Linked DNA regions of Macaca fascicularis. The protein of the gene in region 1 interacts with the protein of each later gene in a pairwise test. Links are inferred from orthologs where the notes say so. Each region holds a gene or a part of one and is shown on either strand. Other genes may lie near its edges.

Region 1 (5,394 bases):
ACTCCATCCTAGCCCTAGCCATTTTTCTCACCCGCCACCATTCTTCATTGGAGTCATCAATGACTGTGATCTTCTCTCCTGGCCTGAGAGGGGAAAAGAGAGGCCTCACTCACATAGCAGGTCCCCTTCTGTGCCCCTGGTCCAGCATCAATAGGCTCCAAGCCCTGAGTCCCCCTTTTTCCTTTCCCTTGGGGGAACCCAGCTCTTTCCTCTTCACTCCACAGTACCAGCCCCCTGCCCCAAGGCCTCTCACGGGAAATCCAGATCGTCCTTCTCCAGGGCTTTGAACCGATAGAGAGCCACAAAGTAATGAGACTGCTGGAAGCCAGGCTGCTTGTGCTGGGGGTGAAAGGGAATGATGAGTCTTAGGGCTCCTCTACCCCACACTGAGGGGCAGGATTCCAAGGCAGGGACATTCACCACACACTCTACACTCCAACTCTCTTCTAGGTCCCCGAACTGAGAGAAGTGTTTTGGTTGTGGGTGGGTGTGCAAGGTGATGGAGAGAGTAGGTCAAGGGTGATGGGAAGCCTAGGAGTTAAAGAGTGAGCTTCCGCCAGGGCCATGAGTGGTGGTGTCAGAGCTGGGTTGGGGAGAGGACTGGGGTCCTTGCAGGGAGGAAAGATTCTTACCTTGTCATCAGGTGTCTTCTTCTCAGCCTTCTTATCCCCTTCAGGGTTTCCTGGGATAGGAAACACCAACAAATTGTCTGTCTCCTGGAGGTCAATTCTTATTCTCTTACCCTTCTGTGGAAAGGCCTCATCTATCCAAAGCTGGCCTGCCCTTTGCTCCTCCACCCTCTGTGCCACAGCTGAGCCTCTAATCCTACTCCATCTCTGGATGGAGGTGGGTGACACTCACCATCCTGGGGTTTGCCTTCCTCTGGTCTGGCCGACTCTGGCTCCTCCTCCATCATGGCTGCTAGAGGCTGGAGGGGGCACCAGAGTTAGGGAGACGCTGTCTTGGGAACCCATGCCCTGGCTCTCTATAATCAGGTCAGAGAACTACAGAGTAATGGGATCTCAGGGTTGGAAGAGGCCTTGGAGGAAATATCTAGCCCAGCCCTCTGCTTAATGCACGAACTTTCTCTAAAACATCCTATCAGGTGGGTCACCCACATTCTGCTTGAATGTAGCTAAATGACAGGGAATTCACTACCAGATTCCAGGTCCTTGACTATGCTGTCAGCCTTTAAAAATACTCCAGTGTGTAAGTAAAAAATGAGCAGCATGGCCAGGCGCGGTGGCTTACACCTGTAATCCCAGCACTTTGGGAGGCTGAGGTGGGCGGATCACCTGAGGTCGGGAGTTCGAGACCAGCCTGACCAACATGGAGAAACCTCCTCTCTACTAAAAATACAAGATTAGCCAGGCGTGGTGGCGCATGCCTGTAATCCCAGCTACTTGGGAGGTTGAGGCAGGATAATTACTTGACTCTGGGAGGCGGAGTTTGTGGTGAGCCAAGATCATGCCATTGCACTCCAGCCTGGGCAACAACAGCGAAACTCCGTCAAAAAAAAAAAAAAAAAAAAAAAGAGCAGCACAATTTTTATAATTCCCTTAAAAGAATATAACCCAAGAGTATGTTAGCCCTTCTGGAAGCAGCCAAATCACACTGCTAGTGCCTTGTAAGTCAGAATTCACTCCATAGAAATCCCTTATCTGTGCCCAACCTCCATATCAACAAGTCTGAGGCCAGATTTCTAGTTCTGTTTTTTGCAGGTGATTTTTTGATCAAGAACAAATATGTACATTTATCTTTTCTTTTCTTTTTTTTTTTTTTTTTTTGAGACAAGATCTTGCTTTCTCCCTCAGGCTGAAGTGTGAAGTGCAGTGGCTCACTGCAACCTCTGCCTCCCGGGTTCAAGCGATTCTCCTGCCTCAGCCTCCCAAGTAGCTGGGATTATAAGTGAGTGCCACCACGCCCTGGAGATATATATATATATATATATAGTGTGTGTGTGTGTGTGTGTTTTCAGTAGAGACAGGGTTTCACCATGTTGGCCAGGCAGGTTTCGAACTCCTGACCTCAAGTAATCTGCCCACCTTGGCGTCCCAAAGTGTTGGGATTACAGGCGTGAGCCACCGCACCTGGCATGAACATACAATTTGTATCTTCATTATATCTAAATCATGTTATAACGCACCAGAAATCTCCCTCTAGCTGTATAATACTGAAAGGACCTGGACTCTGAGTACTGCCACTCAACCAATTTTAGGAGTCCATCTAACTGTAACCATCATCCATACTGGTCCAATCCTGGTTGTCCAGAAAGATATAAGAATATTCTAACAAATTCCATGCTGAACTGAATGCAAATCTATGGCATTACTAACCTAGAAACCCTGTTACAAAAGGAAATGAGGTTTATCTTGGCCAGTAGCTTTGTGCCTCAGTTTCATCATCTGTAAAATGAATGGGTCAGACCAGATGATCTTCATGGATCCTTGCATGGCTCTAGAATTCTCCAGTTACTTGGCATGACAAGTTCTCTTTCCTACATCCAAAAGCACAGCTCTTGCCTCTGTCACCCAGCAATGCCAAAGACTTTGGGCCTAGCCTTCATGTGGTTGTAGTGGCTAATCTGACTATTTCAGAAGGAAGCTGAGAAAACGTAATCTATGGCTAGAGTTCTTAACCAGAGGCCCATGGTGAGTGAGCTGCAGTAGGTCCCAAAACCCCCTAAAATTGCATGCAAAAATATTTCTGTTGGGTTATGTGCAATTTTTTTTTTCTTTTTCTTTTCTTTTTTTTTTTTTTAAGACAGAATCTCACTCTGTCGGCTAGGCTGGCGTGCAGTGGCACGATCTCGGCTCACTGCAACCTCCGCCTCCTGGGCTCAAGCAATTCTCCTGCCTCAGCCTCCCAAGTAGCTGGGATTACAGGCGTGTGCTACCACACCTGGCTAATTTTTGTATTTTTAGTGGAGACGGGGTTTCACCATGTTGGCCAGGCTGGTCTCAAACTCCTGACCTCAGGTAATCCACCCGCCTTGGCCTCCCAAAGTGCTGGGATTACAGGCATGAGCCACCTCACCCGGCCTTTTTTTTTTTTTTTTTTTGAGATGGAGTCTTGCTCTGTCACCCAGGCTAGAGTGCAGTGGTGTGATTTCAGCTCACTGCAACCTCCGCCTCCTGGGTTCAAGTGATTCTCTTGCCTCAGCCTCCCGAGTAGCTGGGATTACACACAACCATGCCTGGCTAATTTTTGTATTTTTAGTAAAGACGAGGTTTCACCATGTTGGCCAGGATGGTCTTGATCTCCTGGCTTCATGATCCACCCGCCCTGGCCTTCCAAAGTGCTGGGATTACAGGCATGAGCCACCATGCCTGGTCGGGTTATGTGCAATTTTAGGGGAAGATAATCCATTACTTCTGTCAGCTTCCCAAATGGGAAAATGACCTGCTCCATGGGATCTCTGGGAGGGACCTCGTGGGGAGGTACAGTGCTCACATTTTTTTTATCTGCCTGTCCCTTCTTCCGTTCCTTGTTTGCCATGATCACCCCAGTGCGCAGGGTTTCAAACACAGGGTCATTGCGATTGGCAGCAGCTAATCAAATTGGAGGAGAAAGAAGACATTATTGGGGAGGCAGAGAAAGGCTTGGAGGAAAGGAAGCGAAAGGCAGGATCGAGTAGATGGATACCCATGTGTGTGCTGGGTGGCAGTGGGGGCGCCGTGGGGGAAGATTAGGGAAGGGTCAGCTGAGCAATACCTAGGACACCGATCTAGAAAGGACTCTAAAAACATCACTGGTGATGTAATGTGAGGGAGAAAAGTATTTATCAGAACTCCTTCCAGGCAGAGCATTATATGACGTTTGAAAGACAACTTTGGTTGCTTGGGAGTTGAGACATGCTCAGAATCACTATTCTCCTTCTAAGGAGAATGGGCCCTTAACTTCTGGTTTTTGTTCTGCTGAATGGCATGTGTAAGCTGAGGTGCTGCCACCAATAGGTTCTTCTTTTTCACCCATGCTCTTCACAGAGTTCAGCCTCTGCTCCAAATAAATGTTGAGCAAATTTGTCAATGAATATACTTTTAAGGGTTGCCAAATTATGAACATGCCCAGGGTGCCTGCAGCCTTTGGGTCTTGCCCCAAGTCTGGTATGACTCTGTAGTAAGGATGAGGACAATCTAGAATCCTTGTTCTTGCTTAGAAATGATTTTGCACATGAAGAGCACAGATTCTGAAGCTAGCAACTGAAGATTCCAGTCTTGGCGCTACCTCTTGCTAACTGTATGTAGTTGCAACTAAATCTTATCTCCCTCTGCTGTAAAATGGGGATATTGCCTCTGCATCCAAATGGATATAAAAATGTTAGGTTGAGGGAGAATTATGGGAAATAGAAAGTTTCTGTTTCAGAATTTGGCTTCCAAAGCTAGAGATGGCATGAAACCATCTCTAGGCTTGCCCATTCCCTCATGTTCCATAAAGGGCACTTACAGAGATCTTTGATACAAGCGTACTGCTGGTTGCTGTAGAGTGGGGAACTATAGGCCCGACGGAAACCAGGCGGCTGTAGGATGGGATGGGAGGAAGCATTAGAGGTAGCAAAGTAAGGTCCAGAAGCCCATCTCTCCCATGAGTGCTCACCCTTTCTCAGAAAAAGAGATGGGCTGAGAAAGAAAAAGCAGAGAAATGAATGGGATGGAGGAGGGACCAGCAAGGGGTAGCTGGTGACATGTCTCCTCCTTTCTTTTTTTTTTGAGATGGAGTCTCGCTCTGTCGCCCAGGCTGGAGTGCAGTGGTGCAATCTCAGCTCACTGCAAGCTCCGCCTCCCGGGTTCACACCATTCTCCTGCCTCAGCCTCCCGAGTAGCTGGGACTACAGGTGCCCGCCACCACGTCTGGCTAATTTTTTGTATTTTTTAGTAGAGACAGGGTTTCACTGTGTTAACCAGGATGGTCTCCATCTCCTGACCTCGTGATCCGCCTGCCTCGGCCTCCCAAAGTGCTGGGATTACAGGTGTGAGCCACTGTGCCCGGCCATGTCACCTCTTTTCTACACCTTGTTCCCCAGAGCCTACTCACGATCTTGCCGAAGCATCTCTGCATTTCCACATAGGACTGACAGTGTTCATGGATGTTGGTTTTGCAGTTCTTACAGCGAAGCCCAAACTTGTTGTTGACTTGGGAGAGGGGGAGAAAATTCAGATAAGATTCCAGATTGCCCTTTCCCTTTGTACCACTGCTGCTACTCTTAGGTTCCCTTTTCTGTCTGGGACCTTACTTGCTCAATGTCTAACAGCATTGCCTTACACCAACTCTAGCCACAGCCCATCTGCTACAAATACTCCTCTCGTATGCCCTCTCCCCAACCTCTGCCTTCAACATCATACTCTCTTCACTCCCCTTTATGACTCACGAACAATCATCCGGGCACAGACATCA
Region 2 (6,731 bases), on another chromosome or scaffold:
TCCAGTGCAAACTCCCTGGTAAACTGAGTTTAAGTGTGAGGGAACCTCCTCACACTTATCTCAAAGCAAAATCTTAGGATCTCTCTGTGATCAGCTGCATGGTGAAGAGATGAAAGCATGGTGTCACCTGTAAGAAAAAATGAGTCAAGGTAGTGTGACCTTCCATAGCTTGTCTTACATATAAGTGGCGTTGTGAGTGAGGTACTCCTGCTCTCCCTCCCCTCTTCTCTCCAGTTCCCTTTGCCCCCTCCATTCCTTCTGCTACCCACCTTCCTCCCTTTCCCTTTTTCACCTTTCTTCTCCATCCCTCCTTTTTCCCTCCTCCCTTACCCACCTTCCTCCCTTTCCCTTTTTCACCTCTCTCTTCTTTCTCCTCCACCCCTCCTTTCTCCCTCCTCCCTTACCCATCCCCACCCTCTTCTACCTTTCCCTTCCTTTCCCTCCATGCCCTGTTCCTTCTCCTTGTCCCATTGCTCTCCAAAATCTTGAATGAGTGTCCTCCAACAGAAAAGCTAAGATGTGGGAAATACATCAGAATGTTAATAATAGTTATCTTTTTATTAAATTGTCCCCTTCCTTGTGATCCTCTACTTTTTTCTATGATAAGCATCCCTCTTTTATAGTCAGGAGAAAAGGCTAGATTTTCATAGTATAACACACTTTAATATTTATTTATTTTAAGTTGCAATAAAAGAACATGAAAAACAGTATCAAATGAAGTGATCATTTTCAGTGAAAGGGAAGGTAGAACATAATACAAAGAAAACATGGTATCTTCAGTTTACAATTACACAATATAAGATGAAGAAACTTTTTAAAAAATACTATGTCATATTAACACCTCAGTGGTAAACAGTAACATCATTATCATTAAATTTATAGGCCACTATATGTCACATACACAAGGTCTCAGTTGAATCAAATGTGGTCTTGACATTCTTAAATGTATGCTAATCTTTTTCAAGCAGTCAAACTTCAAAATACACTGTTTTAGTTACTATAAGTACTGGATTTCTATAGCAAACTAATGAAGGCACAGCTAGTGCAAGCAGATTTAAACGCTTAGTCTTCTGGGCTGGAAAAAAGAAAAAAATAAAGCACTTGCATTGGTACTTCATGAACTTTTTTTTTTCAAGCAAATATTTGTTTCAGTTAACAATTGTGACAGTTTCACAGCTACAGTCTAACAGAAACATGACCAAAGGACATCACAAAAATCAACACTGTAGCACCAAACTAACATGCTTTAGATAATTGACCACAGCTTACATATTTTGAAGAATATTATACTACAACAGTCTAGATAGAATAAACTGGCGCTTAGACACTTTTTAGGACAATTTTTAAAATACAGACTACCAAGAAACCACAAAAACATGACTATAAGGAATAAGAGTGTTCAGGTTACAGGTCAGGGTTTTACTTTTTTCAAGGCTGTATGAATCTGCTTCACTTCTTGAGATTTTAAGATTCTTGAAAGATCTTTCAGATTGACTTATTTTCTGTATTTCCTGTTTCCATAATGTTTGCCAAATTGATAGTAGGTACCATTGACTTCTCCAGTATAGTAATAGATTGATTTCAGGATGACATTATCATGTAAAATCTGCCCAATTTCAAAATCCTCATCCAGGATAGCATCTTCTCGTGGTTCCAGCTTCCCAATCATAGGAATCTCAGGAGGACTAAAGAAATTGAAGAATGATGCATTAGGAACCACTCTTGGCTGGATTTCAATTTCTCCAGTAGCAGTTGTGCGACTCTGAGTAGTTGTCACAGTAACATCTTTTCCTCTTCTCCAGTCTATCTTGCAGCCTTTGCAATCTTCAATTTCCCATCCCCAAGAAAAGAAGGGATCATTGTGATCTGGTTTTGACTTTATTATATATGTCTTCACCAGCACCTCATTTCTGAAGTATGGATTGGGTAGAAAATGAAATTCAAAGGTGTAACTTACAGGCTGGCCAGGTTTTGAGAACTTCAGGCTAACATCCGACAAGAACTTCAGAATGGGCTCATCATACTTCTGAATCATAGGCCCGAGCTTGTCAACATTCTTTAAAACAATCAGCCAATAGTCAGGAATGCCTTTAGGGTCTTCTCTTTTAGGCTTTCCCCTCCTAGCTCTTTTAAGATCTACACTGTCCTGAAGCCTTTCCTCAGGAACTCTTTTATGAGCCTCTCTTACTGCAGCCCTTGCCTTAGCCTCTGTTGCTTTAGGCTGTTCTTTATCATCTGCCTTTACCTGGGGGGCTTCTTTAGGATCTTCTTTTACTTCAGGGGTTGCCTCCATACAGTCTGCTTTAGAATCTGCTTTTTCTTCAGCCTTTATCTCAGGGATTTCTTTAGGAACTTCCTTTTCTTCATCTTTTACCTCAGGAATTTCTTTAGGAACTTCCTTCTCTTCAGCTTTCACCTCTGGGTTTTCTTTAGGGGTTTCTTCTTCCTCACCCTCTAAGGGAGGCATTTCACTAGGGGTGTTATCCTGCACCTCCTCATCACTGCTGAACTCCTCATCCTCTGAATTCCATTCACATTCTTCTTCTGTAGGCTCGTATTCTGCATTGATGATTTGAAACCGCCTATCATATAGAGGCTTGTTGAGTTCAGCATATTTTCTTTCAAGATCATGAATTGCTTTTAAGAACAGGGTGTCTACCTTGTCACATTCTTCTTGAATGTTTCTAAGCGCTTGCACACGATTTCTAACTGCCTGAGGCAGCCTATCCACGAAATTTGTTCCCAAGGGGGCCCGCCGCGCCCTGCTGGAAGGCTCAGGTACCCTCTTCTTTCTATATAAGCGGCTGCGGCTGCTAGTGCTGCCGCTGCTGCTGCTGCTGCCGCTGCCGCTGCTGCTGCTGCTGCTGCCGCTACTGCTGCTGCCGCTGCTGCTGCCACTAGTGCTGCTGCTAGAGCTACTGCTGTCAGATTCTTCCCCAGAATCACTAGTCGAGCTAGCCATCTCCTCTTCGGCAACCCCATGGGCGACGGGTTCCGAGACCATTTTAAAATCTGCTTCTGCCATCTTGCAAGCCTGAAAAACTCTACCGCGGAGACCGCGCGACCAGAGATGGGCAGAAAATGACTCACGGATGCTTGAGTGGCGGCGGCGGAGGCCCGGGCTGCGGAGGTGGCAGCGGCGATGGCAGCAGCGGCGCAGAGCGGAGCTGGAGCTGGGGATGCAGAGGCCGGCGCTGAGGTGGCAGCGGCAGTGGAGGCCTGGGCGACAGCGGTGGCGGCAAGGCCTCTCCCGGCTGCAGCTACACAGTGCCGAGATGTACCGCAGCCGAATGGCGCAGTATGAGACCCCGAGATCTCTTCTCGTTTTAGATCGCGAGCCCCCTCCCCTCGCAGTCAGACCTCCCGTTAATTTCGTTCCCAGTGTGCCTTTAGTTCGCTCCTCATTTGCTGGTCCACCTTAATTGACAAACCGTACGCCCAACGAACGGCCAAACGCCACTACTCCTGGCTCCGCCCACCTTCCCAGACGCTGCTCGCCGGCTGAGGTGCGACCCCCTGGAAGGTGTCCCCGAGCCCCCCAAAAAGTCTATATTTATAGTTTTATAATTAAAAGAGGAAAAAAAAGCGTAGACATGAGGTAAAAATACCAGCCATAGTTCCTAACAAGGGCAGAAGAGGCGTGTCTTCCTTCTCCCATCCGCCCATCCTGAATTCCCGTTTAGTTTGTCACGGGTCTCTTGACAAAAATCTGTAAAAGAAAAAAAAAAAAATTGAATGAAAATGGTCCAAATGGCGTCATTGGGTAGTGTGACTGTGGACGATTTAAAAACAAAACGATTTTCTCTAAATATTCTATGAGCAGTATTTTTACACTGGATAAAAAAGGGGAGAGTCGGTTATTGGCAGAGGGGGGAGGGACTAGACAGCAGGCGTATTGCATTCCACGAAGCTGATTTAATAAGTGCTGTCTGTGATGTTTGGCAAGCCTGGTTTATATCCATCTACAAGGTTTGCGAACCCATGTTGCCGTGAGTCAGTTACACCATTTTTATTATATTTCTCTTTTTAGGCTGGCATATTATATACCCCAACCTTGCTGCTAACTTGCCACGTAGCCCTTCTCAATGCTTGCAACAACCTTGTAGATAAAACAAAGAGTGTATTAAATGTTAGGTAGTATTGTTAAAAAGCAAATGATTTGCGTTATACTTTTGTGCAGCAGGTTTCAATTCCAAGAACAGTGGGATGGGAGGGGGAATTTGTGCTAATGAATGTGCATCTTCTGTCAGTGTATGCGATGTCATCTGCCACCAATTTCCTTCTAATGTTGTAAAATTCTAGCCATACTATAGTATGATTTACAAGTCCAGTAATATGTGAATAAACTTTTGCAAAATGAAGTTTAAAAACGGGTATTTGTTATTTTTATTTACAGGATTTTTTTTTTCTGCTACAGAACAACTACCTTGGTACAATAAAAAAGACGAGTATTTACTTTTCATTGAAAGGTAAGGATCATATTTAGCACATTTTAAAGAATGACAAAAATTACTCATCTCCATCTGAATAAAAGTTTACAGGATGCAGTCATTTAGAGATTTATTTTAGATAATAATCTTGATAATTCTATGGAAACAGGAAAATCCACAGAGGTAATTTGGCATACTAATGTAGACAATAGCCTACTTAACCACATTAACTATCTTAACCTGGTCATAGAATACAAGTTGTAAATTAAAATATGAAATATGATAAATTATTCATTTCAAATGAGGAACTGTATTAAAGTTAGATTAATCTTTATAGAATTTGTGCTTTGTCATGTAGTCACGTTTTTAAAAGTTATGAAATGCTTTTCTGTCTCATAAATGCATTTACTTTTATTGCATATCTCTAATTGTCAAAGTCTGTGAACATTGCAAAGATAAAACCTCAATACAGAAAATTCCAACAGTAGTAAAAACACACAATCTTAACCACCAAATGATAAGAATTACTAGCATTTTGATGCACTTCCTTCTAGAAATTTCCTTGTGCATATACATACCTGCCTATTTATGTATACTGCTTTATCTATGTGATACCATATTATGTTTTGTAGTCTTTTCATTTAATTTATCAGTTACTAATGGCTATATTTTCATGGCAAATGATCAACATCTTATTTTTAAATAAGTGCATATTCCATGGAAATAATTGCCTTAATTTATTTGAACAGATTCCTCTTATAGGGTGGCTATTTCTATACCATCTCTCCCCTTATATACATACTATTTTCCTGCTATAATAAAAGTGTCCCTGGATACCTAAAGCATATATTTCTATGCACTTCTGAAAATTGGTCATAAGATAAATTCCTAGAAATGAATGGCCTGGGAATGATCATTTCATATTATGGAATTATTATTGTATACATATTGCCAAACTCTCTGCAGAATGATTATCACAATTTACAGTTCCAACAGTGCATAAAGGTTCATTTTTTTTGTCATTCAGCTAATATATTTTTGTGCCTGTCGTATGCTGGGCAAATGTGGTAGAGAATTGTAGTATAATGGTGAATGAAACTTACTAAGTGCATATCCTTTCGATGAATAATTTTAATCAAAGCATATGTTATAGAAACAATGATTTACATCAATGGTGTTATACCATAAATATTGTTCTGAGACTCACTATTTCTTTTTAAATTATGGAGATTTTACAAAAAGTATGCTCTTATGTTTTAAACTTTGTAGCATCAGGAATTAGTATTTTAGAGTGAGTCATGAGGTAGGGATCCAGATTTTTAAAATACTTATTTTTATTAGCTAGCTAATTCTTCTAGTACCATTTATTTGGTAATCTTTCTATCTCCTGCTTACTTGAAATGCTACTTTGATCACATTAAATAAATTGCTTGGGTCTGTTTCTAAATTATTTTCTGATCCATTAGTTGCAAACAACTAATGAGTCGGTGTTAAGATAACTTTACATTTTGTGAAAATGATATGTGTTCATTGATAAAGTCAGACAATACATTGAAATACAAAGAAGAAATTAAAAGTAACTCAAAATAAAACTGAGAAGTAATCACTACTTACATTTACATTTGTAATCAACATCTCCAAATTAATTTATCAATATTAGTATTTGTATTTCTTAGATTAGTGGTAAGATTGTGTTTTCATATGTTTATGTTTATTTGAGAACTGTCTATTCATATTTTTTGTTTTCTACTGAATTAAGCAAGAAGTTAATCAATGGTGAAATCCTAAAGGTAAAATGATTTTGGCCTTGACTTACTTAAGACAACTATGATTTCTTCAGGAAATAATGCATGATATTGGGCAAATGTGACTAAATTTCATATTAAAATTGGTTGGGTTTTTTTTGGGGGGATGCTTGGGGGTTTTTTTGGATGCTTTTCAAGGATTACGGATAACTACTTAACCACTCACACTGATCCTGGAAAAGTTTGGAATGGAACATGGAGATGAAAAATAGAAAAAAGCTTACAAAAACATCATATAAAAATAATGTATTAATCAACAATTGTGATTTTCAATTTGGAATTATTTTTTCCTAGATATAGGCAATGAAAATGTTGAAAGTAGATGATTTTTTCTAATCACAATTCTCTACTTTAATTGTGTATCCATAAGTATCTTGTAACACACTTTTATTTTTGTAGCTTTTTTTTGGTTGATTAGTTTATTTAATTTTATGTAGTAGGTATCTAAAATAAAATAAGCTTTTTCTTCATAATCAATTTAATTGCTGCATTATAT
Region 3 (6,739 bases), on another chromosome or scaffold:
AAAGCTGCAAGTTTGGACACATTTTGTGTCTGTTGCAATCAAATTTGAGTAAGCCGAGAGGCCTGCCACAAGAATAAAAAGTCAACTAAAATGAAATTCGTATTCACCACTCAAGAGCGCTAACCTGATACAGGATGGGACACACAGCAAGGCGGGTAAGGTTGAAACATTTAGCAGCCAGATGACGAGGAAGCAGCCCGGACGCAGTGGCCTGTCCAGTTACAAAACTGAAGTGACACACAACTAACGATGACATTTCAGAACAAGGAAGGCCTAATGGGTTTTAGCAGAAATATATCAGATACATGGCAGGCCAACTTTATAGGGTTGAGGCTTGAACTTCATGCAACACATGAGCACGCACCTGAGCTAACGACTGTGCTTAACACTGGAGACCACAGACAGGCAATCTTAGCTTTGAGGGATGCAAGCCCCAGTGCATGGGGACAGGGGGGTGTGGCACTGGCACAGGAAAGAAAACAAGGAGAAATAATATTATTGAACATCGCACTTGGGCCAGGCCCTCAATGGCAGCTGCATGTATTTTTTTTTCTTTAATCTATCCATGCCAGGGCAGGGTAGGTATTATTGGTCCCATTTATAGAGAAGAAAAATGCAGAGGTTGACAGAGGTGAGTAACTTGCCCAACTAGTAGGTGAGAGGTACAAATAAGCAAATGGTTGCAAAGGCAGCGTGATGAGGGCTGTTACTAGGGGAATCCTGGAGGGCCAGGGAGCCTACATACAGGAAGGGACACCCAAGATGAATCCTAAAGGCTGACTAGATATTCCATAGGAAAACCCAACAGAAAGGAGAGAAACGACCATTTCAAGGAAAAGGGAACAGCACATCTGCATATATGACCCCAAACATCATTGAATAAGTGGTTGAAAATGGCTGGACAACTGGCTCCAAGAGTTATATCAGTTACATGTTACTGTGTAACAAACTCTGAAACTTAATGGCTTATAACTACAACCATTTTATTTGTTCACAATTCTGTGGGTCAGCAAATTCGGCTGAGCTCAGCCAGGTGGCTCTTCTGCTGGTCTGACCTGGGATAATTCACATAGCTGTGGTCATTTGGTGGCTCAGCTATGGCTGGATGGCCTCAGCCATATGCCTGGTGGCTGGTGCCAGGCTGCTGGTTAGGCACTTCTCACCGTGAAGTCTTTCATCCTCACAGAGGCCACCTCAGGCTTCTCAGATGGTGGCAGCATTCCAAGAGGGTGAATGTGGAATCTGCAAGGTCTCTTAAGGTAGACCTCATTTGTAAGTTAGGCAGTGTCCTTTCTGTTACATTCTCTGAGTCAAAGCAAGTCACAAGGCAAGCCCAGATCCAAGGGGTGGGGAAACAAACTCTACCTCTTGATGGGAAGAGCCTCAAAGAACTTGTGATCATTTTTGATCCACCTCAAGGGAGAAGTGGCAAGAGGTGAGTCTGCAGAGGTAGGAGAGGCCAGCAGTGCCAATCATGGTGCGCTGTTAATCCCCATGTTTAGGAGTTTCAATTTCATCCTAAAACAATGAGGAGCCACGGAAAACTATTGAGGGGAAGTGTGACGTGATCAGATTTGCATCAGGATTGTCTGGATGGCAAGGAGGAATCCAGACTCAAAGGGAACAAGATTAGAAGCAGCAAAACTCCTTACGGGGCTGTTGTAACTGTCCCAATAAGAGATGATGACAGCCCTGGGGACTGACACAAGAGGCAGGAGGACTGCGAGATGAAGAGCTGACCCTGACAACTGGCAGCTGCCTGGACCAGGGACCTGGGACAGAGTCTAGGATGAATGTATGCTCTGGCTTGGGTCACTGGGCAGAGGAGGTGGTACCTACGAAATTCGGAATATAAAGAGAAGGAGGGCAGGTTTTGAGCTTGGAGAGAAGGGATTACAGGCATGAGCCACTGCACCTGGCCATGAGTTCAGCTTTAAACAGGTGTTTAAGGTACCTAAGGCTTGGCCTCTGTAAGCCGGGTCTTTTCTGCTGAGAAGCAATGATGATGCTCACAGTGTTCACCTCATAGGAGTTCTTAGCAGCAGCAGCAGCAGCAGTGCCTAGAGAGGCTGCAAGGCCAACCTCGGGGGAAGGCAGTGCTATGACCTTGAAAACTCCAGCATATACAGTAGATATCCCTTATCCATGATTTCACTTTCCTTGGTTTTAGTTACCCCCAGTACAGTACAATAAGATATTCTGAGAGAGAGAGAGGAAGATACCCTTTTGTTACAGTGTATGTTATAATTGTTCTATTTTATTATCATTGTTGTTAGTCTCCTACTGTGCCTAATTTATAGATTAACTTTATCATAGGTATGCATATATAGGGAAAAACATAGCATATATAGGGTTTGATACTATCTGAGGCTTCAGGTATCCACTGTGGGGACTTAGAATGTATCCTCCTTGGATAAGGGGGAAAGCACTGTACATTTCTTTGAACCTCAGTTTCTTTCTTTTTTCTTTTTTTTTCTTTCTTTCTTTTTTTTTTTTTTTTTTTTTTTTTGAGACAGAGTCTTGCTCTCTCGCCTACCCTGGAGTGCAGTGGCGTGATCTCGGCTCACTGAAACCTCCACCTCCTGGGTTCAGGCGTGAGCCACTACACCCGGCTGAACCTCAGTTTCAATAACTGTAAACTAAGGTTAATGACAGCTACATGGCCAGGTGGTTCGAGATGTCTATAGAGTAATGGGCACATGGTGCTGCTCCTTCCTCCCTCCTTGCTCTCCCAGCCCCCAGCCCACGCCTTCATCCTTGAATCACACTCTTCTCCCTGTCCAGCTGGTCTTCTTAAACTATAACATCTACAAAGGCAGGACCACACCTTATTCAAGTGTGTTACACAAATACACCCTTGAATAAATTGAGCTGAACCAGAAAGCGCAGAGGAAGGGGAAAATTAGACTTATGTGAGACCTCACAAGTAATCAAGACAATGTCTGGGACATGTCAAGGACTTCGTATTACTTAAAACAAAATGATGCAATGTGCTGCAAATTATTCAAGGTTGGTCGATGGCATCCGGTCTACGAATGTAAGTCTACACTGTCAATCCTGTGGTATCTAAATTCTCAACAAATATGCCACATTGGTTTTAAAGGAAAGAGAAAAGGCCCTTTCCCTTTAACTTCTAGGGACCAACTCAAGGAAGTCAAAATTTCCTCAAGACCAAGAGGAACCAACCAAGTAGAAAGATAATCCCTTCTGCAATAGTCCTATATGCTGAAGGTTAGTTTTGTTTTATGGTTTCAGGAATAAGAGATGGAGATAGATAGATAGATAGATAGATAGATAGATAGATAGATAGATATACTTTTTTTTTTTTTTTTTTTTTTGTGAGACGGAGACACACTTTGTTGCCCAGGCTGTAGTGTAGTGGCATGATCTCAGCTTACTGCAACCTCTGCCTCCTGGGTTCAAGTGATTCTCCTGCCTCAGCCTCCCAAGTAGCTGGCATTACAGGCAGCCACCACCATACCTGGCTGATTTTTGTATTTTTAGTAGAGACGGGGTTTTACCATGTTGGTTAGGCTGGTCTTGAACTGCTGACCTCAGGTGATCCACCCGCCTCAGCCTCCCAAAGTGCCGGAATTACAGATGTGAGCCACCGCGCCTGGCCAGAGATGGTATATTTTTAAACCTCTCTCCTTGAGCTTTCTTGTTCAGTTTTTAGATTAAGCCAACAGTATCGTCTTTTGCCAGAGCAGACAAGTTCTGAACGTACTTCGGCTTCTTCAAAGTCTGGTGAAAAGCAGCAACAAAAGAGGGGAACAGGGTCAACCACAGAGTTTTAAAATGAGGGCACTCCAAGTTCAAATGGTCCTCACTCTAGAAAGTTACGAGAAATGGGAGACATTAGCACGCTCTGATGAGAGTCATGTACTCATGACTCATGTACTCATGACTCATGTACTCATACTGCACTCATGAAAAAGGAACAGTATGCTATCAAAAGAGACATTCAGAGAACAAGAACTTTTCTAGGGGATTACAAAACCAATTGCAAACCTAATAGAAGGGTTGGAAGATAATGGCCCCGATCTCACAGAAAGTAGAGTGAAAACAAATGGAACATGGGAGAAGCAAGAGAAGTAAGAGAGGACCAGTCCAGGAGGCAAACTCATCCAAGTAACAAGAGCTCCAAAGAGCAGGAAGCAAGAACACGGAGCAGGGGAAACCACCAACCAATGCATTCAAGATAATTTCTCAGAAACGATGGGCATGAATTTCCAGGTTGCAAGGGCCCACCAGGGGCTCAACAGAATGAATGAATACACACACACAGATGGTCACTCACTGGGAAATTCCAGACGATGCTGGAGACAAAGAGAAGATCCTACAAGCTTTCTGAGAGGGAAAAACATGTTGCACACAAAGGATCCAATAGAAAACTTTTTTTTTTTTTTTTTTTTTGAGATGGAGTCTTGCTGTCACTTAGGCTGGAGTACGGTGACATAATCTCAGCTCATTGCAACCTCCGCCTCTCAGGTTCAAGCAATTCTCATGCCTCAGCCTCCCCAGTAGCTGGGACTACAGGCATGCACCACCACACCTGGCTAATTTTTGTATTTTTTGTAGAGAAGGGGTTTCACCATATTGGCCAGGCTGGTCTCAAACTCCTGACCTCAGGTAACCCACCTGCCTCGGCCTCCCAAATTGCTGAGATTACAGGTGAGAGCCACCGTGCCTAGCCGAATAGAATACTTTTGGATTTCCCAACAGCAACATGGGAAGTGAAAGACAACAGTTGGAAACCTTCTAAATCTGAGAGGAAACTGGCTTCTGACCCCATAGACCGATATTCAGAGAGGCCCTCCATCAGGTGCAAGGGTAGCAAAGCTCCTGCTTTCCCCATTAGTGTAACTAAAAGGTAACTGTGTCTCTCTCTGAGATTCTGGACTCTGTCTCCCCATGGTACTCGGTACTTCTCTCCTATTGTGGTAATTATTGGTGAACATGGTTTCTTATGATGTTTTAGTAGGTAACTCATGGCACCTTTTCTAGACATCCAACTTGCAGTGGTGTGTTACAGGTTGCTTGTATTTAATTTGCACTGCAATATTATTGGTTTATAACAAGGAAGTCATCATCAAATCATCATCAGCCATTTTTCAGATCCAACCCTGCAATAAATTAGAGATATTGATAATGATAGTGGTGCCAGCTAACACTTTTTGAGCCCTTATCATATGCCAGGAACTGTCATAAATAAGCACCTAATGCGCATTAACTCACTTCCTGGTAACAGCAACCCCATGAGGCAGGCATTACCATTATGTTTACTTTACAGATGAGAAAACTGAAGCACAGACAGGTTACCACAACATGCCCTGGGGCACAGAACCACTGGAACCAGGTTTTGACCTCAGGCAGCAAGCCTCTAGTTTCTGCTTCTAACTACCACGTTATAATCCTCTGTGTGGTTTACTGTGTGTCATCTCCCAGTGTGAACATTTCTCACATTTCTCAACTTTACATCCAACCATCAGTGATCTAGACATTTGATAATTTAGCTTTTTTTTTTTTTTTTTTTTTTTTGAGACAGGGTTTCACTCTTTCACTCAGGCTGGAGGGCCGTGGTGCAATCACAGCTCAATGCAATATTGACCTCCCAGGCTCAGGTGATCCTCCCACCTCAGCCTCCTGGGTAACTGGGACTACAGGCACACACTACCACGCCCAGCTAATTTTTCTATTTTTTGTATAGACAGGGTTTCACTGTGTTGCCCAGGCTGGTCTCAAACTCATGAACTCAAGTGATCTGCCCTCCTTGGCCCCCCAAAGTGCTGGGACCACAGGCATGAACCATTGCGCCTGACAGGATAATCCAGATTCTGAATTACCCACAAGTTGTTGTTTTTCCTTCCCAGTTTATCTGTGTTGAGTAGATGCTCCTCTCAGTGAATATAACTCTCTGTTGGAGTCTTTAGTAAAGTTTAGAGATGAGGGAAAATGTAGTATTATTCTAATGTGTTTTTAAAGCAAAGACTAGAAGTTTAAACTAATGACAAATTGAAATATGAGGATTTCCTGAACTCTTGCTGCTCATGCTGCTAAACGAGTGTGTGTTCAGTGGAGAATTACCTGTCTACTCATTTAGCAGATGGAGTCATTTCTGTAAGCATCGCCGCATTGGGGCACCAGAGTCTGGATCCTCAGATGAGGATCTCAGAGCCAAGGCCCCAGTTCTAGTGCTTATTCCAAGCCAACTTTTTTTCATTTAAAAAACAGCTTTATGGGCCCAGTGTGGTGGCTCATGCCTGTAATCCCAACACTTTGGGAGGCCAAGGTGGGTGGATCACCTGAGGTCAGGAGTTCGAGACCAGCCTGGCCATCATGGCGAAATCCCATCTTTACTAAAAATACAAAAATTAGCTGGGCATGGTGGCGTATGCTTGTAGTCTCAGCTACTTGGTAGGCTGAGGCACGAGAATCACTTGAACCCAGGAGGCAGAGGTTGCAGTGAGCTGAGATTGTGCCACTGCACTCCAGCCTGGACGACAGAGCGAGACTCTGTCTCAAAAAAGAAAATAAAAATAAAACAACAAAAGAAACAGCTTTATGGACATGTAACTAGCATACAATGATCTGTACGTATTTAAAGTGTACAATTTGATTTTTTTTTGCCATATGTATAAACCTGTGAAACCACCATCATAGCCAAGACAGTACACAGACCCACCGTCCTCAAAGTGCTCCTGTGCCCATCTAATCTCTCCCTCTTGCCCCTCCATGC
Region 4 (6,517 bases), on another chromosome or scaffold:
TGAACCTGGGAGGCAGAGGTTGTGATGAGCCAAGATCGAACCATTGCCTGGGAAATGAGAGTGAAATTTGTCTCAAAACCAACCAAACAAACAAACTCTAATGCCTTTCCCTTGCACAGAATAAAATCCAAGCACTCCACAAGACCCTGAATGACCTGGTTCCAGCTTTCTCTCTAACCTCGTCTTGTGCCACCCTCTCCATCTTTTGCTATATCCATCTACTCTCCCTATTTTTCTGTTTATTGTGTACCAAGCTTGGGTTGGCCCCAGGACCTTTGCACTTGCTGTTCCACCAATGTGGCCTTTGCACTTGCTGAACCAATCTTTCTTTTTCTTTTTTTTCACCACTATCTCATTCCAGAACATTTATTTATTTATTTATTTATTTATTTATTTATTTGAGATGGAGTCTTGCTCTGTTGCCCAGGCTGGAGTGTAGTGGCGCGATCTCAACTCACTGCAACCTCCGACTCCCTGGTTCAAACGATTCTCCTGCCTCAGCCTCCCAAGTAGCTGGGATTACAGGCACATGCCACCACGCCCAGCTAATTTTTGAATTTTTTTTTTTTTTTTTTGAGGCGGAGTTTCGCTCTGTCTCCCAGGCTGGAGTGCAGTGGCCGGATCTCAGCTCACTGCAAGCTCCGCCTCCCGGGTTTACGCCATTCTCCTGCCTCAGCCTCCCGAATAGCTGGGACTACAGGCGCCCGCCACCTCGCCCGGCTAGTTTTTTTTTGTATTTTTTAGTAGAGACGGGGTTTCACTATGTTAGCCAGGATGGTCTCGATCTCCTGACCTCGTGATCCGCCCATCTCGGCCTCCCAAAGTGCTGGGATTATAGGCTTGAGCCACCGAGCCCGGCCTAATTTTTGAATTTTTAATAGAGATGGGGTTCACCATCTTGGCCAGGCTGGTTAAGATCTCCTGACCTTGTGATCTTCCCACCTTGACCTCCCAAAGTGCTGGGATTACAGGGGTGAGCCACTGTGCCTGGCCAGGTCTATGAGTTTTAAAGATCACCTGTGTGGATTAAAGGTGAAGATTTAAAAAGGGTGACCATGGGAGGCGGAGGTTGCAATGAGCAGAGATCCCACTGCACTCCAGCCTGGATGACAGAGGGAGACTCCATCTCAATCAACCAATCAATCAATAAAAGAAAGAGGGCAGGGCGCGGTGGCTCATGCCTGCAATCCCAGCACTTTGAGAAGCCAAGACAGGTGGATCACTAGGTCAGGAGATTGAGACCATCCTGGCTAACACGGTGAAACTCCCTCTCTACTAAAAATACAAAAAATTAGCTGGCATGGTGGTGGGCACCTGTAATCTCAGCTACTTGGTAGGCTGAGGCAGGAGAATGGTGTGAACCCGGGAGGTGGAGCTTGCAGTGAGCCGAGATCGTGCCACTGCACTCCAGCCTGGGCAACAGAGCGAGACTCCGTCTCAAAAAAGAAAGAAAGAAAGAAAGAGAGAGAGAGAGGGAGGGAGGGAGGGAGGGAGGGAGGGAGGGAGGAAGGAAAGAAAGGGTGACCACTTGAAGGGCTGCTGAAATGGGCCGGTGGCTTGTATTAGAGTGGTAGTGGAGGAAATACAGGATATATTTTGGAGGTAGAAAAACCAACATGTTGGCAGCATGGATACAGGGGTTTAGGGTGGAAGGGGTTGAAGGAAAGAAAGACATCTAGGAAGAGTTTCACATCTCCATGGTGGACCTCAAATTTAGGCATATGTTTTGTATGTATTCAGCCTCCACATATTGCATTTAGAGTCTCAATTAATTCATTGGGACACAGCATAGCATAGGGAAGGAATTTGTACTAAATTTGGAATCCCTATCCTGTGTGATCTTGGAAAGTGCCTAAACCTGAAGAGCCACCACTTCCTCTTCTTTCAAATGGTGATAGGATGTGTAAGGGTTTGAAAAGATGTTTGCAAAGCTCCACAACAGCACCTAGAACTCAGGGTGTCTAAAGAGGTTGTGGGAAACCCTAACGGGATGAGGCAGAGAGCCTCAGATTCAAGGTTTTTACCCAGGAGGGAGTGGTGCATGAGGAAGGTTGCAAGATTTTGAGGAGGCTGGACACTTACAGCATTGAGAAAAAGAATATTCCAGTTTCAGCTGACGCGGTGGCTCACGCCTGTAATCCCAGCACTTTGGGAGGCTGAGGCGGGTGGATCATGAGGTCAGGAGTTCAAGACCAGCCTGGCCAAGATGGTGAAACCCCATCTCTACTAAGAAATACAAAACTTAGCCGGGCTTGGTGGCGGGCGCCTGTAATCCCAGCTACTTGGGAGGCTGAGGCGCGAGAATCGCTTGAACCCGGAAGGTGGAGGTTGCAGTGAACCAAGATCGCGCCACTGCACTCCAGCCTGGGCGACAGGGCAAGACTTCGTCTCAAGAAAACACACACACACACATACACACACAGTATTCCAGTTTCTTTCTTTTTTTTTCTTCTTTTCAATCTGGAGTATTTCAGTTTCTGCCTGAGTTGGAAATGAGTCCCTCTGCTATGCATCCCAGCAAAAGGACACCTTAAATACCTAACTCGGGAGAGTACGAGGTTATTCCTGGAGTCTGGAACAGTGACTATCATAGGTGCTCAGTAACCGTTTAGTGAATAACATCCCAATGAAGTCAAGAGGTTGGCGTAACTGGAACAGTCGGCGTGAGGCGCACCAGGTTTCCAGCGTTCCTGGTTTCCACGTCACTATGGTAACGTCCCACCCTGCACACCCAAGGCGAACTACAATTACCACAAGCGCCCGCGATTTCCCCGCCCAAAGGGAGAGAATGGCGCGAGCAAGCACGGAACCGGCTTTTCCTCCTTCCTGCAGCGTGATTGGCCCGCGGCTCAGGGAGGCGACCAATGAGTGCTCTCGTGGAGAGCGACGAGGCCAATATGGCTTCCTGCACCTGGTGACGCTTGGCGAAACTGAGGTCTCATGGAGAAGCCCCCGAGTATTGAGGTGAGAAGGAGAGGACTTAGCGTGACTTGGAAGGGGAACCCCGAGATCCTCGCTCCGTGGACCCTTCTTTAGGGCTTTTAGCGACGTCTGGAGGATGGAAGGTGGAAGGATGGATAAACTGAGATAGTTAAACTGAGCCAGGGCCAGAGGCGACTGGCGTTACTTTTTGCTCCTCTCCTGCTGGGGCCAATGTTCGGCGAGTTCAGGGAGGAACAGCCGTCCCTGGCCTGGGGGAAGGGGAACTAGGTTTAGGATGTGAGAGCTCCTGAATCGATTCTTTATCCTCATTGTCTCGTGGCCGTGTTCTTTAGGGCTTGTGAGGCCTGTTACATGAGGTGGGAAGTGAAGGGCGATTAACGTTGGGTGAACATCACTCCTTGTCTGTAACGTTCATGTGCATTATCTTCCAGTACCCTCACAGGAATTATTATTCTTTCGTCTTTGTCGTTCAAGCCACTGAGGCTTAGAGGTGGTGCGACGCCCCAGGAAGTTACCCCGGCTGGAAAGTGAAGGAGGTTGGCTCTAAGTCTGTCCGCCTCCGAAACTATCTGTTATGCTTTTCACATTGTACTGCAACCTGGAACCCACTCATCCCTTTTGTTTTTTCTTTCAGACGGAGTCTTGCTCTGTTGCCCAGGCTAGAGTGCAGTGGCCCGATCGCGGCTCACTGCAACCTCCGTCTCCGGGTTCAAGCAATTCTCCTGTCTCCGCCTCCCATGTAGCTGGGATTACAGGCATGCGCAACCACACCCGGCTAATTTTTATATTTTTAGTAGAGACGAGGTTTCACCATGTTGGTCAGACTGGTTTCGAACTCCTGACCTCAGGTGATCTGACTGCTTCGCCTCGACCTCCCAAAGTGCTGGGATTACAGGCGTGAGCCACTGCACCCCGCCTCATCCTTTAATCATTTGGTTTCTGGGCACTTTATATTTGTTTTAAGAGACGGGGTGTTCCTCTGTTGCCCTGGCTGGAGTGCAGTGGTTACTCACAGGCGTGATGACAACGCACTGCAGCCTCGAACTCTTGGGCGCAAGCAATCCTCACACCTCAACCTCCTAAGTAGCTGGGACTATAGGTGGTCTCTGTCACCCTGCCTGACAAGGGTACCTATATTTGAACTGTTTCCTTTCTAGCATATTTGCATGTATAGTTGCAAATATAAAGTGGAATAGCTCAAACATTCTGCAAGGGTAAAGGAAAATAATAATGTGGAGAATAATAGCATGTCACACTTTTAGAGCTGTTACTGACTGCTGGAAATAGAACTAGGCTTTACATATCTTAATCTTCATAAGAATTATCTAAAGAAAGCTTATTATCTCTCTTGTAATGATGAAGAACTGAGGGTAGCAAGATAAAATACGCACAAAATCACACAGTTAATAAATGTTAGAGCCAGGATTCAAACCTAGGCAAATCATAGTCTATGCTTTCAACCAGTAAAAGTTGGCAACGTTTATTGAGCACTTACTATATGCAAGTCACTATTCTGAGTGCTTTGCCTGTATTGTCTCTTACTTCTCCCCCAAATCCTTTTTTTTTTTTTTTTTTTTGAGACAGAGTTGCTCTCTATCACCCAGGCTGGAGTGCAGTGGTGCAGTCATAGCTCACTGCAGCCTTGACCTCCCTGGCTCAAGAGATCCTCCCACTTCAGCCTCCCTAACCACCACGCCCAGCTAATTTTTTCCAGTTTTTGTAGAGACAGGGTTTCCCTATGTTGCCCAGTCTGGTCTTGAACTCCAGGCTCAAGCAATCCTCCTGCCTCGGCCTCCCAAAGTGCTGCGATTACAGGCATGAGCCACTGTGGCCAGCCCCCAAACCCTGTGAAATAGGTGGTACTATCCTCATTGTACAGATGTGGAAACTGAAACACTGCAAAATTGACTTGCTGCAGGTCACACAGCAAGTAAGCACTAGAGATGGTATTTGAGCTCTTCACACCTTTTTTTTTTTTTCCCTTTGAGACAGCGTCTCCCTCTGTCATCTAGGCTGGAGTGCAATGATGTGACCATGATTCAGTACAGCCTTGACCTCCCAGGCTCAAGCTATCTTCCCACCTCAGCCTTCTGAGTAGCTAGAACTACAGGTGCATACCACCACCACCTGGCTTTTTTTTTTTCTTTTGAGACAGTATCTCACTCTCTTGCCCAGGCTGGATAGCAGTGGCATGGTTATGGCTCACTACCGCCTTCACCTCCCAGGCTCAAGCAATCCTTCCACCTCAGCTCCAAGGAGCTGGGAATACAGGCACATGCCACCACACCTGGCTAATTAATTTATTTTTATTTTTTTGAGACGGAGTCTGGCTGTCGCCCAGGATGGAGTGCAGTGGCACCATCTCGGCTCACTGCAAGCTCCGTCTCCCAGGTTCACGCCATTTTCCTGCCTCAGCCTCCTGAGTAGCTGGGACTACAGGCTCCCACCACCACGCCTGGTTAATTTTTTGTATTTTTTTTTTTTTTTTTTTTGAGACGGAGTCTCGCTGTGTTGCCCAGGCTGGAGTGCAGTGGCCGGATCTCAGCTCACTGCAAGCTCCGCCTCCCGGGTTTTTACGCCATTCTCCTGCCTCAGCCTCCCGAGTAGCCGGGACTACAGGCGCCCGCCACCTCGCCCGGCTAGTTTTTTTTCATATTTTTTAGTAGAGACGGGGTTTCACCGTGTTAGCCAGGATGGTCTCGAACTCCTGACCTCGTGATCCGCCCGTCTCGGCCTCCCAAAGTGCTGGGATTACAGGCTTGAGCCACCGCGCCCAGCTGAGTCAAATATTTTTATTTTATAGATGAGAAAATTGAAGCCCACAGAAGTTAAATGACTTGCTCAAGGCCCTATAGCTAGTTAGGATCAGAGCTGAATCTAGCGCTATAGTACACCCCAAGATGCCACAGTTATCTGTGTGTCATCTGCCTCTCCGATCCTCTTTGGAGCAGTCTGGGTCCCAAATTAACTTTTCTGTGACTTAAACTGTTTCTGAGTTGAGATCATTTTGATGTAATATTGAACACAGAAGACATTTCTTTTTTCTTTTTGAGACAGAGTCACTCTGTCGCGCAGGCTGGAGTACAGTGGTACGATCTTAGCTCACTGCAACCTTCGCCTCCCAGGTTCAAGCAGTTCTCTGCCTCAGCCTTCCAAGTACCTGGGATTACAGGCGCCTGCCACCACACCCGGCCAATTTTTGTATTTTTAGTAGAGACAGGGTTTCACCATCTTGGCCAGGTTGGTCTTGAACTCCTGACCTCGTGATCCACTCGCCTTGGCTTCCCAAAGTACTAGGATTTCAGGTATGGGCCACCATGCCCGGCTAAGAATTAATTTGTAATATATATCTTCTACCCCAGAAAGTCTTTGTAAAGTACCTTAGGATATTTCACTTTTTTTTTTTTTTTTGAGATAGAGTCTCGCTCTGTCACCTAGACTGGAGTGCAGTGGCACAATCTTGGCTCACTGCAGCCTCTGCCTCCTGGGTTTAAGCGATTCTTTGCGCCAGCCTCCCGAGTGACTGGGACTACAGGCACCCACTACCACACCTGGCTCATTTATTTTTTTGTAT

Evidence for each region. The genes of interacting proteins can lie anywhere in the genome.
Region 2: the proteins of STAC3 (region 1) and FAM133A interact in binary tests that used the Homo sapiens proteins (3 or more experiments, as listed by UniProt). The two-hybrid records come from large-scale screens. The link is inferred for Macaca fascicularis from reciprocal best matches to the Homo sapiens genes STAC3 and FAM133A.
Region 3: the proteins of STAC3 (region 1) and PPARA interact in a two-hybrid assay, tested with the Homo sapiens proteins (2 studies listed by BioGRID). The two-hybrid records come from large-scale screens. The link is inferred for Macaca fascicularis from reciprocal best matches to the Homo sapiens genes STAC3 and PPARA.
Region 4: the proteins of STAC3 (region 1) and L3MBTL2 interact in binary tests that used the Homo sapiens proteins (3 or more experiments, as listed by UniProt). The two-hybrid records come from large-scale screens. The link is inferred for Macaca fascicularis from reciprocal best matches to the Homo sapiens genes STAC3 and L3MBTL2.

Annotation. Positions count from the first base shown.
Region 1 is NC_088385.1:64,046,152-64,051,545, forward strand, and holds part of STAC3 (SH3 and cysteine-rich domain-containing protein 3), read right to left. Parts: coding exon 5,369-5,394; intron 5,133-5,368; coding exon 5,035-5,132; intron 4,520-5,034; coding exon 4,447-4,519; intron 3,552-4,446; coding exon 3,454-3,551; intron 929-3,453; coding exon 862-928; intron 683-861; coding exon 633-682; intron 340-632; coding exon 254-339; intron 84-253; coding exon 32-83; intron 1-31. UniProt on the Homo sapiens protein: Required for normal excitation-contraction coupling in skeletal muscle and for normal muscle contraction in response to membrane depolarization. Required for normal Ca(2+) release from the sarcplasmic reticulum, which ultimately leads to muscle contraction.
Region 2 is NC_088395.1:100,195,099-100,201,829, forward strand, and holds the start of FAM133A (protein FAM133A), read left to right. Parts: upstream 1-3,025; 5' UTR 3,026-3,506; intron 3,507-3,733; exon of another isoform or gene 3,734-3,989; intron 3,990-4,396; 5' UTR 4,397-4,469; intron 4,470-6,731. Other genes in the region: NAP1L3 (nucleosome assembly protein 1-like 3), read right to left, coding at 1,496-3,025.
Region 3 is NC_088384.1:5,402,155-5,408,893, forward strand, and holds the start of PPARA (peroxisome proliferator-activated receptor alpha), read right to left. Parts: upstream 3,745-6,739; 5' UTR 3,525-3,744; coding exon 3,522-3,524; intron 1-3,521. UniProt on the Homo sapiens protein: Ligand-activated transcription factor. Key regulator of lipid metabolism. Activated by the endogenous ligand 1-palmitoyl-2-oleoyl-sn-glycerol-3-phosphocholine (16:0/18:1-GPC). Activated by oleylethanolamide, a naturally occurring lipid that regulates satiety.
Region 4 is NC_088384.1:10,406,069-10,412,585, reverse strand, and holds the start of L3MBTL2 (lethal(3)malignant brain tumor-like protein 2), read left to right. Parts: upstream 1-2,773; 5' UTR 2,774-2,788; coding exon 2,789-2,964; intron 2,965-6,517. UniProt on the Homo sapiens protein: Putative Polycomb group (PcG) protein. PcG proteins maintain the transcriptionally repressive state of genes, probably via a modification of chromatin, rendering it heritably changed in its expressibility.